Arabidopsis thaliana: one gene and its partners. The protein of the gene in region 1 interacts with the protein of each later gene in a pairwise test. Each region holds a gene or a part of one and is shown on either strand. Other genes may lie near its edges.

Region 1 (5,036 bases):
GTGAGATTTTTGTGTGTACTCTTTATGTGAGCTTGATGGCTACATTCTTATCATAGATTGTTACTTTTGGTGCTGATGACAGTAAAATTCATTATAGGTGGATGTGAAGCTGGTTTATAGTAATGGATATGCTTTTGATGTATTACCAAGAGGAGCTGGCAAACAAGGTGCTTTGACATATCTACTTGACAAGTTGGATATTGAAGGCAAGCAGCCTTCTAACACACTTGTTTGTGGTGACTCTGGAAATGATGCTGAGCTTTTCAACATTTCTGACGTATATGGCGTAATGGTTAGTTCCCAACTACTTTTTTTTAGGTTCGATCATACTTGACTACGCGTGAGTGATTGTGCTTATATTTTTACTGTTTAAGGTTAGCAATTCGCATGAAGAATTATTGCAATGGTATGAAGAAAATGCAAAGGACAACCCAAAAATATTTCATGCGTCTGAGAGGTGTGGAGCTGGTATGATAGAAGCTATTCAGAGGTTTAATTTGGGACCAAATGTCTCTCCTAGAGATGTTATGGACACTGAAAATTTCCATGGGGAAAGTTTGAATCCTGCTCATGAGGTTGTTCAGTTTTATTTGTTTTATGAGAGATGGCGTTGTGGAGAGGTGGAAAAGTCTGACAAGTACTTGCAGAATTTGAAATCGCTCTCTGTAAGTGTGTTTATTTGACAAAAAAAAGCTCTCTAGCATCTAACGTAATGGAAATTCAAGTGCTCAAATTGATAATTTTGAAGATGTTCTTGATTGCTTGTGTTGTGTAGACTTATTAGTTGACGTAATTGTTATGCTTTTGCAATGTTTCAGAGTCCACTTGGTATTTTTGTTCATCCGTCTGGAGTGGAGAAACCGATACATGAATGGATAGATGAGATGGAAAATTTATACGGTGATGGGAAGGAAAAGAAGTTTCGCATTTGGTTGGATAATGTTACGTCTTCTCATATCAGTTCAGATACATGGCTTGCAAAATTTGTAAAGCATGAGTTATCTGGTAAGAAATCTTGTTCTTCAATTACATGGCTTATACTTGTGACTTATCGAGCTAGGAAATGATTTAGCAGAAAATACGATCAACTGATTTGTTTGATTTCTCATCATAAGGGTATACTGTAGAAGTTTGCTTCCATGTTCTAATGTCTAGCTCGTGTTTACAGAGGGAAAAGTACGGTCTTGTTCAACAAAAGTCTTACTGAGTTATAAGGTAAACCTTGATTTATGATCCTTTTAAGATTTCAAACGATTAGATTGGTTAAATAATATTGGAAAAAAATAACTGAAAATGGGTTAAAATTGAAAGGAGGAAAAGCAAAGGCTGACGTGGATGCACATCCACCAATCATGGTTAGATGAATCTTCTTCAGATGATCAAGAAAAATGGATTTTCTAAAGGATTATCTTAATCTCGACTGACATACTAAAGATGACATCTGTTTGGGACAGAAGCTAACCAAAGAGCATAGTGTTTGTTTTGTGTTATGTTTGTTTGGGGATGGTGTGAGTTTGATAAAGCATGAAGGATACTAAAAGCTGAAGAAGGTGTTGCCATGTCTTGGTTTCGTTTCATTAATACTTTTTTACATATTTGGGTTAACTTAAAACTATTAATAAGGAAGGTTGGGTCCTGAATTTGGTCTGTTCATGACCTTTTGAGGGCAGGGAGAGTTTTGGGTCTCTACAACAAAACCTACATTTCTTTAGTCTTACAAAACCTACCATTGTGTTTGATTTGCAATTCTTTTTTCTGGTTTATATGGATTGTTTTCTACTATTTCTGTTTGTTTTTGTTGAGAAACTATTTCGATTTTTTAAACCATATACAAAACGCTCCACCAAACTCACAAATCCCGCCTTGGATACTGTAATCTGTTTTTATAAAAAAATGATATGATGGAGAGAAGAGGAGACGCAAGTCACGGGACATGATTTCAAGCATAAGTCTAATTACTAATTACCACCACTTTCCGTAATTAACGCCCTTTTTCACTTTATCCACTTTTTGTTGCCCATCTTCTTTATATTATTTCTTTCTCCAAGCCCACACTGCTCAGTTTCCTGGTCAAATGGCTACCTCAGAGACTCGAGTCTTGTTCTTATCTTTGTGTCTCATCCTTGGCAAAGTAGTTTTGTCTCAGTTTGATGAGTTATGGCTAGTAGGGGACGATGATCCACTCAACGCCTTGCAGACGAGGCGTGAAAGAAGAGAGGAGAGGTGTGATTACTCGGTGGGGAAATGGACGTTCGATGAAACGTATCCGCTCTATGATTCAAGCTGTCCATATCTGAGTTCTGCACTAAGTTGCCAAAGAAATGGAAGACCCGACTCTTATTACCAGAAATGGAGATGGATCCCTAAGGCTTGTTCACTACCAAGGCACACTCCACACTCCTCTTACTTCTTACATTACTTCTTTTTAAAATTTCTGTCTCATCAAGTAAAAAAGTTGGTTTATATTGGCTTTGCATGGTTAATTGCAAGATGAATAAATTGACTAATGAAAAATGGGAAAGAGACATTAATATTAACCAAAATAGTGGCTCTTTCCATGATGGTGTTTAGGTTTGACGCATTGAAATTTCTTGGGAAAATGAGAGGAAAAAGAATAATGCTGGTTGGAGATTCAATGATGAGAAACCAGTGGGAATCTCTTGTCTGCTTAGTACAGTCTGTTCTTCCCACTCATCGTAAGAAGCTCACTTACAATGGTCCTACGATGTCTTTCCATTCTCTGGTAATTAATAATCACAAATCTCCTTTTGAATCACATATACATCATTGGTTAGTAGATGCAACTATTAAATTTGGTTACTATACAGGATTTTGAGACATCAATTGAGTTTTGTTGGGCTCCTCTGCTTGTGGAACTCAAGAGAGGAGTTGACCGTAAAAGGGTGTTACATTTGGACTCAATCGAAGACAATGCTAGATATTGGCGTGGTGTAGATGTTCTTGTATTCGATTCCGCTCACTGGTGGACTCACTCTCAGAGATGGAGTTCGTAAGTCATCTGAATAAACACTTACATCTTTCCTTCAAAAGCAAATGATTAGTGTATAACGGTTCATAGACGTCTATGTTCATTGTATTTGTTATTGTGTCTCATTTTACATCAGATTTGGGATTTGTGACAGTAACGCAAGCTATTGATGTTTTAGGTGGGATTATTACATGGATGGGAATAAGATCTTCAAAGCTATGGACCCAATGGTTGCTTATGAGAGAGGACTAACCACATGGGCTAAATGGGTTGAGATAAATCTTGATCCATCCAAAACAAAAGTCATTTTCCGCACTGTCTCACCGAGGTTTTTTCTTATATTCTCCTCTTAATCTCAACATATATACAAAATGGACACCATTAATTCATGTACATAAATTCTTGGCAGAGAGAGTGGTCAGATGTGCTACAACCAGAAACATCCCTTGCCTTCTTTATCTTCTTCCACCAAACCCCACGTGCCTCAACAGTCAAGAGTGTTGAACAAAGTGCTAAGGACAATGAAATACCGAGTGTATTTATACGATATCACAACAATGTCTGCGTATAGAAGAGACGGTCATCCTTCGGTGTTCAAGAGAGCAATGCACGAGGAAGAGAAGCACCATCGTATCGCTGGACCTTCATCAGATTGCAGTCATTGGTGCTTGCCCGGTGTCCCGGATATTTGGAATGAGATGCTTTCTTCAATTATCTTAACCAATGCTGTATGAGCTATAATAAGAGTCTGTTTTTACTCATGAACAATGGTGTTACTTATATGAATCAGTGGTTTATATATTACATATCCTTTCCCAGCTAACAAATATCCCAATATCAAAGACAAGACAACTCAAAGGCCTTTAAGCATAAAGTTCATGCATCACAATGATTTTCGTGTTTTGGTTATTTCTTACCTAACTCAATTTTTTTCCTAAAACGTTTTAGGTTAAGTTTTGGTGTTTTCATCAAAATGGCAATAACCATTTGATTAGAGTTTTACAGTTAGTGAAGTTCTCAATTTTTGAATAAAATAATATTTTTAAAATTGTAAAGGCAATGAGTCATCATTATTCTGTCGTATTCTCCGTCGCTTTCATTTTCAACTACTTTGAAGCTGCAGATCTCTTTTGGAGATTCACATGGCGACGGAGAAATGGGTGTTCATGGTGACGGCGCAAACTCCGACGAACATTGCGGTGATTAAGTATTGGGGAAAGAGAGATGAGGTTCGGATTCTCCCCGTTAACGATAGCATTAGCGTAACTCTTGATCCTGATCATCTCTGCACAGTCACCACTGTTGCCGTTAGTCCTGCTTTTGATCGGGATCGAATGTGGCTCAATGGCAAGGTACACTCGCTTCATTTCCCATCACGATCTCTCTCCTTTTGCTGAGATTCCAATTATCGAATTACAAAGATTTTTGTTGTTGTTGTTGTTTCATGTTAGTGTAGGAAATATCTCTTTCTGGAAGTAGGTACCAAAATTGTTTGAGGGAAATACGAGGTCGTGCTGGTGATGTTGAAGACATGGAAAAGGGGATCAAGATAAGGAAGAAAGATTGGGAGAAATTGAATCTACATATTGCTTCTCATAATAACTTCCCTACTGCTGCTGGCTTAGCATCTTCAGCTGCTGGATTTGCTTGTCTAGGTATTCTGCTTTTTCTCTCTGTTGATGATTATGAGCTTGAGAATGGCTTGTAGTTTATGTCAAACTGTTTTTTTTGCCTACAGTTTTTTCTCTTGCAAAGTTGATGAATGTAGATGAAGATCCAAGCCATCTTTCTGCAATAGCCAGGTACCTATGTAGTGGACTTCCTTGCACTATATATCAATGCTTTGATTTATGTATAGTCATCTACTAATGCATGAGTTGTGATAGTGAAGTGAAATCTGACACTCCTCTAGGAATTAAATGGTACTGATATTCATGGTTTGATTTCTGTTTGCTCATGTAGGCAAGGTTCAGGAAGTGCTTGCCGGAGTTTATTTGGTGGATTTGTCAAGTGGACAATGGGAAGCAAAGAAGATGGAAGTGACAGC
Region 2 (5,494 bases), on another chromosome or scaffold:
ACTGGTAGCAACTGGAAAGTTAGATGATAGAGTATTGTTGTACCACTTGAAAACTAAAATTTCGAGAGAAGACATTTAAAAGATTGAAGATATAATAACATAGAAAGAAATTAAAAATGTTTGCTTATAGCTTGTAAGTTCCTTGTACGTGACAATGACGATATGAAATTCAGTTTTCTAAGACTCAAGCACAAACACTTAGCTTAGAATGGTCTCTTGCAAGCGCTCTATGTGAATAAGTTATAAAGTGTTTGCTACATGTTTTGCTTTTTCCGGTAATTGTGATTTCAGCTTCTGGGCATTGACTTATATACATCCTAATCTAGCAATACATAAAGGTTTTTAGATTTTGAAAGGTAATATTCGCATGCTCAAAAGGTAATATGCAAAATTATATGATAGTTTTTGTTTGTTTGTTTGCGGTCGCTAGCAACAACGACCATCAAAATACTTTGTTAACTGGTTTGCAGTTGCTATAGCATAATTCAATCGATGCAATATATTGTTATCACTATAACTTGTCACTATTGCTAACGATTTCAAAACGATCATGATTTGATCAAATCTATATCACTGATGACTACAAACAAAGATTAACTACGACTAATTTCGATAATAAGGGACAATGAAGAGATCATCGAAAAACAGATATTCTTGGATATTTTTCGTTAGTTATATTCGAAAGTTTATATTATATTTTCTAGCAAACAGGAACAGGCCCTCAATCATGTTCGACCAAATTAGCTGCCAGAACTGGTTCTCTTTGATAACATTTGTTTATATAGATATAAGAATTTGTTCAACATTTATTTTAACTATTAAACAAAATTGAAAGGGACAGGCGTCATAAAACAAACAAATAGTATTACGTATACAGATTTATGTGGATCATGTGATCTCTTGTAAGAATGGGTAAATAGAATCATCTAGGTCTTATATATTGAAGCGTATAGTATAAAGTTCTGGAAAACAGATATAACAGCCATACCAAACGTTTTATATGCCTACTTCTCCACGTTAGTCTTATATAATGCATTTCTTTTGGGTATTATATGCCTATTTTTTCACGTTAATGAGAATTTTGGGTTTTCGTGTAACCCACTCATACTATTGAAGTCGTGTCCACATTTATGTTCCAGTGACTTTCTAATTACTATTTAGATTACTATATGCCCATGTTGCTCAGGATACCTATGTGATAATGTTCCACATATAAGCTTACTTATTTCTTGATAATCTCTCGTAATTTAAGTTGTGCTCTCATGTTTTCAATCGAAATCGAAATGGCATACGTAAAATTTTATGAACTTTTCAGATATAGTCAGTTAGTAATGAGTGAGTAATATACTTGAGAGATATATATTTGGTTTAATCAAAATTTAACTTGTATTTTTGTTGCTTAATTCAAATATTTTCCTTTTATAATACTTTGCCACTTCTTACTCGTTTGCTAATTAAATATTTTGCCACCTCAAGTATGTGACTGATTCTGAACAATTTGTTTTTGTTCGATTGATTATGGAGGACAAGTACTGAATTACATCCGAATAATGTGACTTTTTCTCTTGCTAGATATACTTTTTTTTTGTAAAAATCTTGCTAGATACTTTTTTTTTTTTGGTCAAACAATCTTGCTAGATACTTAAGTATCCAAAACATGTTATTTTGTGGTATCTCTCAATAAAAAATATCAACCATCCTCATTCCTCCGAAAAGAAATGTTTTCATTTGTCAACAAAAAAAGATAACGACAGTTTTACACTAATAAAATAAAATAAGACAATATTGTAACGTTAGTTTTAATAAGATAGGTACGAGTTTGCCGCTTTGGCACGATTTGGACAGCTAGCTGCTCAGTAACAGTCAAATCTAATTTTGCACGTACGTTATTCGCAACACTAATTACGCCTATAATGATTTCAATCCCTTAAGACCCGTGTAACTAAACCCAAATAGTTACTTAAAACTCTAGAAAATAGCGAATTTTCAAACTACCTTAAGCCCCAAGAAATAGATATAAACATAATGAGGAAGAAAAATCGAGAAGGGTTTTTGTACAACTTCCTCTCACCTACCCATTTACTTTTAGGTTTGTACATTACATCAAAACATACAAAACCCAGAAGCTATCGTTAGATACTTAGAGATTACCTACTATATTGACCATTTCGTATCTCTTTCATTCTTATAATAAAAAAATATCTCTTTACTTTATAGTAGTCTCTTCTCTCATTCCTCCTATATCCTATTCGTGTCTTCTTTGTGGGTATGAGCTATATAACCCACATAACCTGAGAAGATTAAGACAAAAATACATAGAAAATGTCTGGCTTGCTCGGAAAATCATCTCCGGCCAAACGGGTTGATGGCAACAATGATCTTCCTATGTATTATGTAAACCCGATGTCCGTGGAGCCTCAAGGACGTCCAAGCGACACGACTAGAGTCTCTGTCACATTCGCCGAGCATCTTATGAACGTGGAGGATGCAAGGAATGATGAAAGTGCAAGTAGCCGGGCTCTGGGAATTGCCTCACCTATCAATTCTGCTGCATCCTCTTTCAATTCATGGGCCTCTGCTCCTGCTTCTTCTATATCTTCTTCCCCGTTTGTTCTTTCATTCACTGACTTGACCTACAGCGTGAAGATCCAGAAGAAGTTTAATCCCCTCGCTTGCTGCAGAAGGTCAGGAAATGATTCCTCGGTGAACACTAAGATACTATTGAATGGTATTTCAGGTGAAGCCCGCGAAGGGGAGATGATGGCGGTTCTTGGAGCAAGTGGGTCCGGTAAATCAACACTGATCGATGCATTAGCCAACCGGATCGCAAAAGATAGCCTCAGGGGATCCATTACCTTAAACGGAGAAGTTCTTGAATCAAGCATGCAGAAAGTCATATCGGCTTACGTGATGCAAGACGACCTTCTCTTCCCGATGCTTACCGTGGAGGAAACTCTAATGTTCTCTGCAGAGTTCAGGCTCCCTCGTTCACTCTCCAAGAAGAAGAAGAAAGCAAGGGTTCAAGCTCTGATTGACCAATTAGGCCTAAGGAGCGCTGCAAAAACCGTGATTGGTGATGAAGGCCACAGAGGAGTGTCTGGAGGAGAAAGGAGACGGGTATCAATTGGAAACGACATAATCCATGACCCAATCATCCTCTTTCTAGATGAGCCAACCTCAGGGCTCGACTCTACAAGCGCCTACATGGTTATCAAAGTCCTTCAGAGAATCGCACAAAGTGGCAGCATAGTTATCATGTCAATCCATCAGCCTAGTTACAGAATCATGGGTCTTCTAGATCAGTTAATCTTCCTTTCTAAGGGAAACACAGTCTACAGCGGCTCACCAACACATCTCCCTCAGTTCTTCTCAGAATTCAAGCACCCAATTCCTGAAAACGAGAACAAAACAGAGTTCGCTCTCGATCTCATCCGAGAGCTGGAATATTCTACAGAAGGAACCAAGCCACTTGTCGAGTTCCACAAGCAATGGCGAGCAAAGCAAGCACCAAGCTACAACAACAATAACAAGAGAAACACCAACGTATCTTCTCTCAAAGAAGCGATAACCGCGAGTATCTCAAGAGGGAAACTCGTCTCTGGAGCAACGAACAACAACTCATCAAACCTAACACCATCATTCCAAACATTCGCCAATCCTTTCTGGATTGAAATGATAGTAATAGGCAAACGTGCTATATTAAACTCAAGAAGACAACCAGAACTCCTCGGAATGAGACTAGGAGCTGTAATGGTCACCGGAATCATCCTAGCTACAATGTTCACTAACCTAGACAATTCCCCAAAAGGAGCACAAGAACGTTTAGGATTCTTCGCATTCGCAATGTCAACAACATTCTACACATGTGCAGAAGCAATCCCAGTCTTTCTACAAGAACGTTACATATTCATGAGAGAAACAGCTTACAACGCTTACCGGAGATCCTCCTACGTCCTCTCTCAATCCATAATCTCAATCCCGGCCTTAATCGTCCTCTCCGCAAGCTTCGCCGCCACAACATTCTGGGCCGTTGGTCTCGACGGAGGCGCCAATGGTTTCTTCTTCTTCTACTTCACAATCCTAGCCTCATTTTGGGCAGGAAGCTCCTTCGTAACGTTCCTCTCCGGCGTTATACCAAACGTAATGCTCGGATTCACAGTCGTAGTAGCGATCCTCGCTTACTTCCTCCTCTTCTCCGGATTCTTCATCTCTCGAGATCGAATTCCTGTTTACTGGCTCTGGTTCCATTACATCTCCTTGGTGAAATACCCTTACGAAGGAGTGTTGCAGAACGAATTTCAAAATCCGACGAGATGTTTCGCCAGAGGAGTTCAGTTATTCGACAATTCGCCGTTGGGGGAGTTTCCGAACGATGTGAAAGTGAATCTGTTGAAGAGTATGAGCGGTGTATTGGGGACGAATGTGACGGCGGAGACTTGTGTGACGACGGGGATTGATATTTTGAAACAGCAAGGGATTACGGATATTAGTAAATGGAATTGTTTGTGGATTACTGTTGCTTGGGGTTTTTTCTTTAGGGTTTTGTTTTATTTCACTCTCTTGATTGGTAGCAAGAACAAACGGAAGTGATTAAACAGTTGTTCTTTTTTTTTTTTTGAAAAAAGGTTTGTTGTAATTTTGTTTCCTTTTTCTTTCAATTATATAATTGTATGTCCTTGCTATATTTAATCGATTAATTAAAGAATAATAAAGTCATAATTTATGAAATGAAAAATACCGGTGATATTTATATATCTTCATTCTTTTTATTCTGTAAAAAATGAAAGTGCTTTAGGAAAAAAAAATGCTAAATGTTAAAAAAAAAACAGAAAATAAAAATCTAAGCTAATTGCTATTAGTATTTCTTTAATAACAAAATAGGATTATAGGCGGACTTTGATTTGTTCATCAAAGAATAGTTTATAACATGAATTGGTAAACGGTAAAATTTATCCTAGAAGGTAGAAGATAGATGTCATAAACTATGCATAAATAGATAGATGTCATAACAAATCTGATCACTTTTAGATGTTGTAAGTTTTTAAAGATTAGAGGATCCAATTTGTTATAATGAATTTGCATAACTAGATATATAGTTTAGTCTGGATAACTCATTACTATTAGTCTTTAAGCAAATGTGATCAGAGTGTGCAACATAGAAGAATACCGAGACATACAAAACTTGCAATTTGTAAACCACCATTCTTATTTTACAATTTACACAAATTAAATGGGCCTTATTAATATAAGGCCCAACAGATTGCAAAATGGTGAATATGGCAACATCGATTCTTATCTCTTTTTAAAGATATTTACCGTTGGTTTAGGACACAACACCAAATTATTACCGTTGGATTTAGTCGGTTCTGTCTGAAGCCCATTTTTGTTTTTTTCTGTCAGCGTCTGAAGCCCATTTATAAACACTTGAAAACCATACTTTAGCTACCTTACGCTGTTCTTCCCCTTTCCTTCCGAAATTAGGGCTTCCGTGTTT
Region 3 (4,648 bases), on another chromosome or scaffold:
AATAGCTTTAAAACAAAGGAAAGACCATCCTCGGTTCGTTACCTAAAGAAAGCTAAACTACCAACCAAATTTAGAAAGAGACATTTCAAAGAATTCAAGAATATCTAAACATAGATTGAGAGATCATCACACATCTAAACCCTGATGGTTATGGCCTTACTGTCAAAAACCTAGAACAAAGAGTATTAACAATAACGATATGATTCAGAAACCATACTTAGGATGATTACTTTTGCTATGTTTAGATAACTTTTCACTATTTCCTAATTTCAGAACCCAGAACATTGAAAAAAACCCATCATTTCAACTTTTAGCTAACTCTAACAATCAAAAGTGGCTACTTTCCAGCTAATTATGGCTGCCACTTTCTCCCATTAATTCTTAATTGCAATCTAAACCCCTTAAGTTCCACAAAACCCCTGGAAATTCCCCATTACTTTTGTTTCCCGTTCCCAGAAGCCACAATGAAGAAACTGAACGAACATCGATCTAGCTGAAATCGTCTCAGTCTACTAATTATCTAATTCAGCATTCAAAAATCAATTCCAACCACAAGAGATCTCAGTTTAGGAACAGTAAGTCAACGTAGAGCAGGTACGACTAAATCCATGATTCGTCGACGAAATTGAAAGAGACAGATAGTATTAGAGTTACCTGATGAGACTGTACGAGACTTGAATTGACGGAAAACCCCAAACCATGGTGACTGATCGGAATCGGATTTCCAGAAAGAAATCGCTTAGAGAGAGATGAACCAGAGGTAGAAGGAACAGAATCAGAAGACGAGTAGCTGTTATCTACGATATCAAAGGAGAATATTCCGATGACGCAAAGAAGGAGTAAGAGGAGGACGAAGACCAACATTTGGATCCAAATTAGCCATGGGATATTATTGTAGCTATCTAAAACCAAAAACTCTTTCCCAGAATCCACCATTTTTTGTAGAGAGATAAGAGTTTTTCCCGGGAAGAGAGATTTGAGGTAACGATTGAGGAGGAGGAAGAAGAAGAAAGACGACAATCAAACGAAGACGACGAAGGAGTTGGGTGAAGGGGAAAAGATAAAACGACGAAGCTGTGATATTCAGGTCACCGCGAGAAAATAACGGCAAAAATCTTGCTTTTTGTTGATAGTCCACGTGTAACACATTAATTGGTTAAATAGGTGAAAACACTTGATATTTATGTAATTTGTTATAGTGTTTATTAAATATTTTAATTCGATTTTTTATAAATTATTTATATTTTAATTAGTCATTACTGTTTATTCATTAAATTAGCTAATGTATTCTTCGTTTATGATAGAGACAAAAAAAAAAAAAAAAATCCAGATGTATTTAAATTTCTAAATCAACGACAAACGTATAAAATTAGCTATAAATGTGTAAATATAGTAGTTTTTTTTCTTTAGGTAAATTCAGTAGTTAAAATAAAAAAAACCTAAAAATATAGCTATAATATTTTTTCGGAAGCATTAAATTTCCATATTGAATTTACATGCTATGTTGTATATACATGCCCGAAATTTCTTGGATGTTTCACGTGTATCCACCATATATTATAGCTTACAAATAAATAAAGTTAAAGATAAACATAAAAACAACATCTAAACTATAAAAAATATGCATGTATTTATCATTACATAAAAAAATAAATTATGTAGATATGTATCAAAATACAAGATTTCCACATAATTTTGTTATCAATTATATTATCTTTTAACATTCAAATTTAGCCAAAACAGTTATAGAATTTTGTAAATAACCGCGTTTCAATGAAATTTCGTAGAAAGTAGAAAAGAATATAAAAGCTTAATTCAAGAGAATATTTTTTTTTTATTTTTTTTTATTTTTTATTTACGCGTATTAAAAACTTGTATATAAGTTAAATCCTTTCTTATGATCCTCTCCACAAACAAACTTGTACTAGAAAAATCCCTAAATCTCAACAAAACCCTAATTTCAAGGAAGACGAAGAAAGAATGAGTTACAGAGTCGCTAAAGCATCGCAGTATCTTGCGATCACCGGTGGTGGGATCACAGACATCAAGCTTGCAAAGAAGTCTTGGGTGTTTCCATGGCAGTCTTGCACCGTCTTCGACGTTTCTCCGGTGAACTACACGTTCGAGGTTCAAGCTATGAGTTCCGAGAAACTTCCCTTTGTTATTCCTGCTGTTTTCACAATCGGTCCTCGCGTTGATGATCCTCACGCTCTCTTGTTGTATGCCATGCTTATGTCTCAACACGATAAGCACTCGAATCACGTCAATGAGCTTGTTCAGGGTGTTATCGAAGGAGAGACTCGTGTTCTTGTTGCTTCCATGACTATGGAAGAGGTCTTCAAAGGTAACCAAACATACCCTTTTTGATTATCTTCTTTATTTCTGAGTTCTGTTTTAATATAATTGTTTGAACTGTGTTTGAATTGTGGAATTGTAGGAACAAAGGAGTTTAAGAAGGAAGTGTTTGACAAGGTTCAGCTAGAGCTAAACCAGTTTGGTCTTGTGATCTACAACGCCAATGTGAAGCAGCTTGTTGATGTGCCTGGACATGAGTACTTCTCTTACTTGGGCCAGAAGACTCAGATGGAAGCAGCAAACCAAGCCAAGATCGATGTAGCAGAGGCAAAGATGAAGGGAGAGGTTGGTGCCAAAGAAAGGACTGGACTCACAATCCAGAATGCAGCCAAGATTGACGCTGAGTCAAAGATCATCTCTACTCAAAGGCTAGGAGAAGGGACAAAAGAGGAGATCAAGGTGAAGACTGAAGTCAAAGTGTTTCAGAATGAGAAAGAGGCTCTTGTTGCTAAGGCTGATGCAGCACTTGCGATTCAAAAGGCTGCTTTGTCCCAAAACTCTCGTGTGGCTGAGGTTGAAGCAGCCAAGGCTGTTGCTTTGAGGGAAGCTGAGCTTCAGACTAAAGTAGAGAAGATGAATGCATTGACTCGGACAGAGAAGCTTAAAGCTGAGTTCCTCAGTAAAGCCAGTGTTGAGTATGAAACTAAGGTGCAAGAAGCGAACTGGGAGTTGTACAATAAGCAAAAGCAAGCAGAAGCTGTTCTTTACGAGAAGCAGAAGCAAGCGGAAGCGACGAAAGCTGCAGCTGATGCTGCCTTCTATTCAAAACAGAAAGATGCAGAGGGACTTGTCGCAATGGCCGATGCTCAGGGGACTTACCTCAAGACCCTCTTAGGCGCAGTTAACAATGATTACTCAGCCATGAGAGACTTCTTGATGATCAACAATGGCATTTATCAGGATATTGCCAAGACCAATGCTGTTGCGATCAGGGACCTGCAGCCTAAGATCAGCGTGTGGAACCATGGTGGTGCTGAGCAGGGGATGAACGGTGGTGGTAAAGCTACGATGAACGATATTGCTGGACTCTACAAGATGTTACCACCGGTTCTTGATACGGTTTATGAGCAGACAGGGATGCAGCCACCAGCTTGGATTGGTACATTGCGTGGTGCTGAGCCCAAACAATCACTTCATGCTCAACAACACAGAGGTTGAGATCTCAAATGTTGCTTCTTTAATTATACTTTTAGCTGTTGGGGTTTGTTTTCTTTTTCTTATGTTATAGAACTTGGAAGTTAGAGTTTGAAGTTAAAACAATAGTATCTGACAAATGCGACTTCGACTAGTGATTTCGATAAGGATGTGTTTTTCCTTTTTCAAATGTCAGATTTATTATTGCGTGTTGAAGATACCTTTCTTCTCTCTTGATACACTAATATAAATAACATGTTTAGTGGTGGTCTACTAAAATAAACAGAAGGGGATTATCAACACATGATTGCTTCAATAGTTGAATGCAATTGTGGAGATGGATGTACCTTCCAGATGGATAATCAAGGAATGATATTATTATATCTACATAAATTCTGTCACCATCGGATAAATAGTTCAACAACACCTACCACTTTATTATGATGCTACTTTTTGTAATGCATCAGGCAGGGCTCAAGGGACCATGCTCCAATTATTTGTTCCTCATATCGGAATATCTTTAAGAGTGGTCCTCACCACCTCTCTGTGAACTGCAAATTCCTCTTTTTAGCAGAAAAGTATCATATACGGAAGCTGCATGTTTATTGAATAATATATTGACCAGTCGATGAAACTGCGAGGATGGTAGATGATACCACTGCATTTAAATTATATATTTATAAAAATATATTGACTATAGTAAAACATAAAATAAATAGCTGAAACAGTTTATAATTATTTAATAGTCCATTGAACCAATTTATTATTCTGGATCTCATGGGTTTTTAACTTTTAAGGGATATAGGATCCGATCTCGACGGCCTAAAAAAGGCCCAAAATACGGCCTTGAAAATGGCGCCCATTCACGAGAGTTTCCTTACACCGCACGTGATGATCACGTGATCTCACTCTCACACTCTCTCAAGAGCAACAAAATATCTCGACTGTTTTTGATTTTGTCATCTGGTGGATTAGAGTGGAGTGGAGCTTTGAATTGGATGATCATTATCCATGTCGATTCTACTTAGGCCGTCGTCCTCTCCTTCACTCTGTTCTTCTCTCAAGCTTTTCCGATTATCCTCTCCGGATTCTTTAATCGACGCAGCTGTCCTCAGGAACAGGACAAAGCCGTCGCAGTCGTTTCGAATGGAGGTCGTTT

Evidence for each region.
Region 2: the proteins of TBL36 (region 1) and ABCG2 interact in a protein complementation assay, tested with the Arabidopsis thaliana proteins (one large-scale study listed by BioGRID).
Region 3: the proteins of TBL36 (region 1) and AT5G64870 interact in a protein complementation assay, tested with the Arabidopsis thaliana proteins (one large-scale study listed by BioGRID).

Annotation. Positions count from the first base shown.
Region 1 is NC_003074.8:20,083,784-20,088,819, reverse strand, and holds TBL36 (TRICHOME BIREFRINGENCE-LIKE 36), read left to right. Parts: upstream 1-1,852; 5' UTR 1,853-2,074; coding exon 2,075-2,385; intron 2,386-2,571; coding exon 2,572-2,743; intron 2,744-2,828; coding exon 2,829-3,010; intron 3,011-3,167; coding exon 3,168-3,317; intron 3,318-3,398; coding exon 3,399-3,723; 3' UTR 3,724-3,849; downstream 3,850-5,036. Other genes in the region: AT3G54270 (sucrose-6F-phosphate phosphohydrolase family protein), read left to right, coding at 98-292, 375-665, 819-1,005, 1,169-1,215, 1,312-1,401; AT3G54250 (GHMP kinase family protein), read left to right, coding at 4,132-4,341, 4,446-4,644, 4,728-4,791, 4,952-5,036. UniProt on the Arabidopsis thaliana protein: May act as a bridging protein that binds pectin and other cell wall polysaccharides. Probably involved in maintaining esterification of pectins. May be involved in the specific O-acetylation of cell wall polymers.
Region 2 is NC_003071.7:15,672,651-15,678,144, reverse strand, and holds ABCG2 (ABC-2 type transporter family protein), read left to right. Parts: upstream 1-2,224; 5' UTR 2,225-2,322; coding exon 2,323-4,590; 3' UTR 4,591-4,703; downstream 4,704-5,494.
Region 3 is NC_003076.8:25,928,641-25,933,288, reverse strand, and holds AT5G64870 (SPFH/Band 7/PHB domain-containing membrane-associated protein family), read left to right. Parts: upstream 1-1,904; 5' UTR 1,905-1,980; coding exon 1,981-2,344; intron 2,345-2,437; coding exon 2,438-3,513; 3' UTR 3,514-3,857; downstream 3,858-4,648. Other genes in the region: AT5G64880 (uncharacterized protein), read right to left, coding at 655-936; DPE1 (disproportionating enzyme), read left to right, coding at 4,501-4,648. UniProt on the Arabidopsis thaliana protein: May act as a scaffolding protein within caveolar membranes, functionally participating in formation of caveolae or caveolae-like vesicles.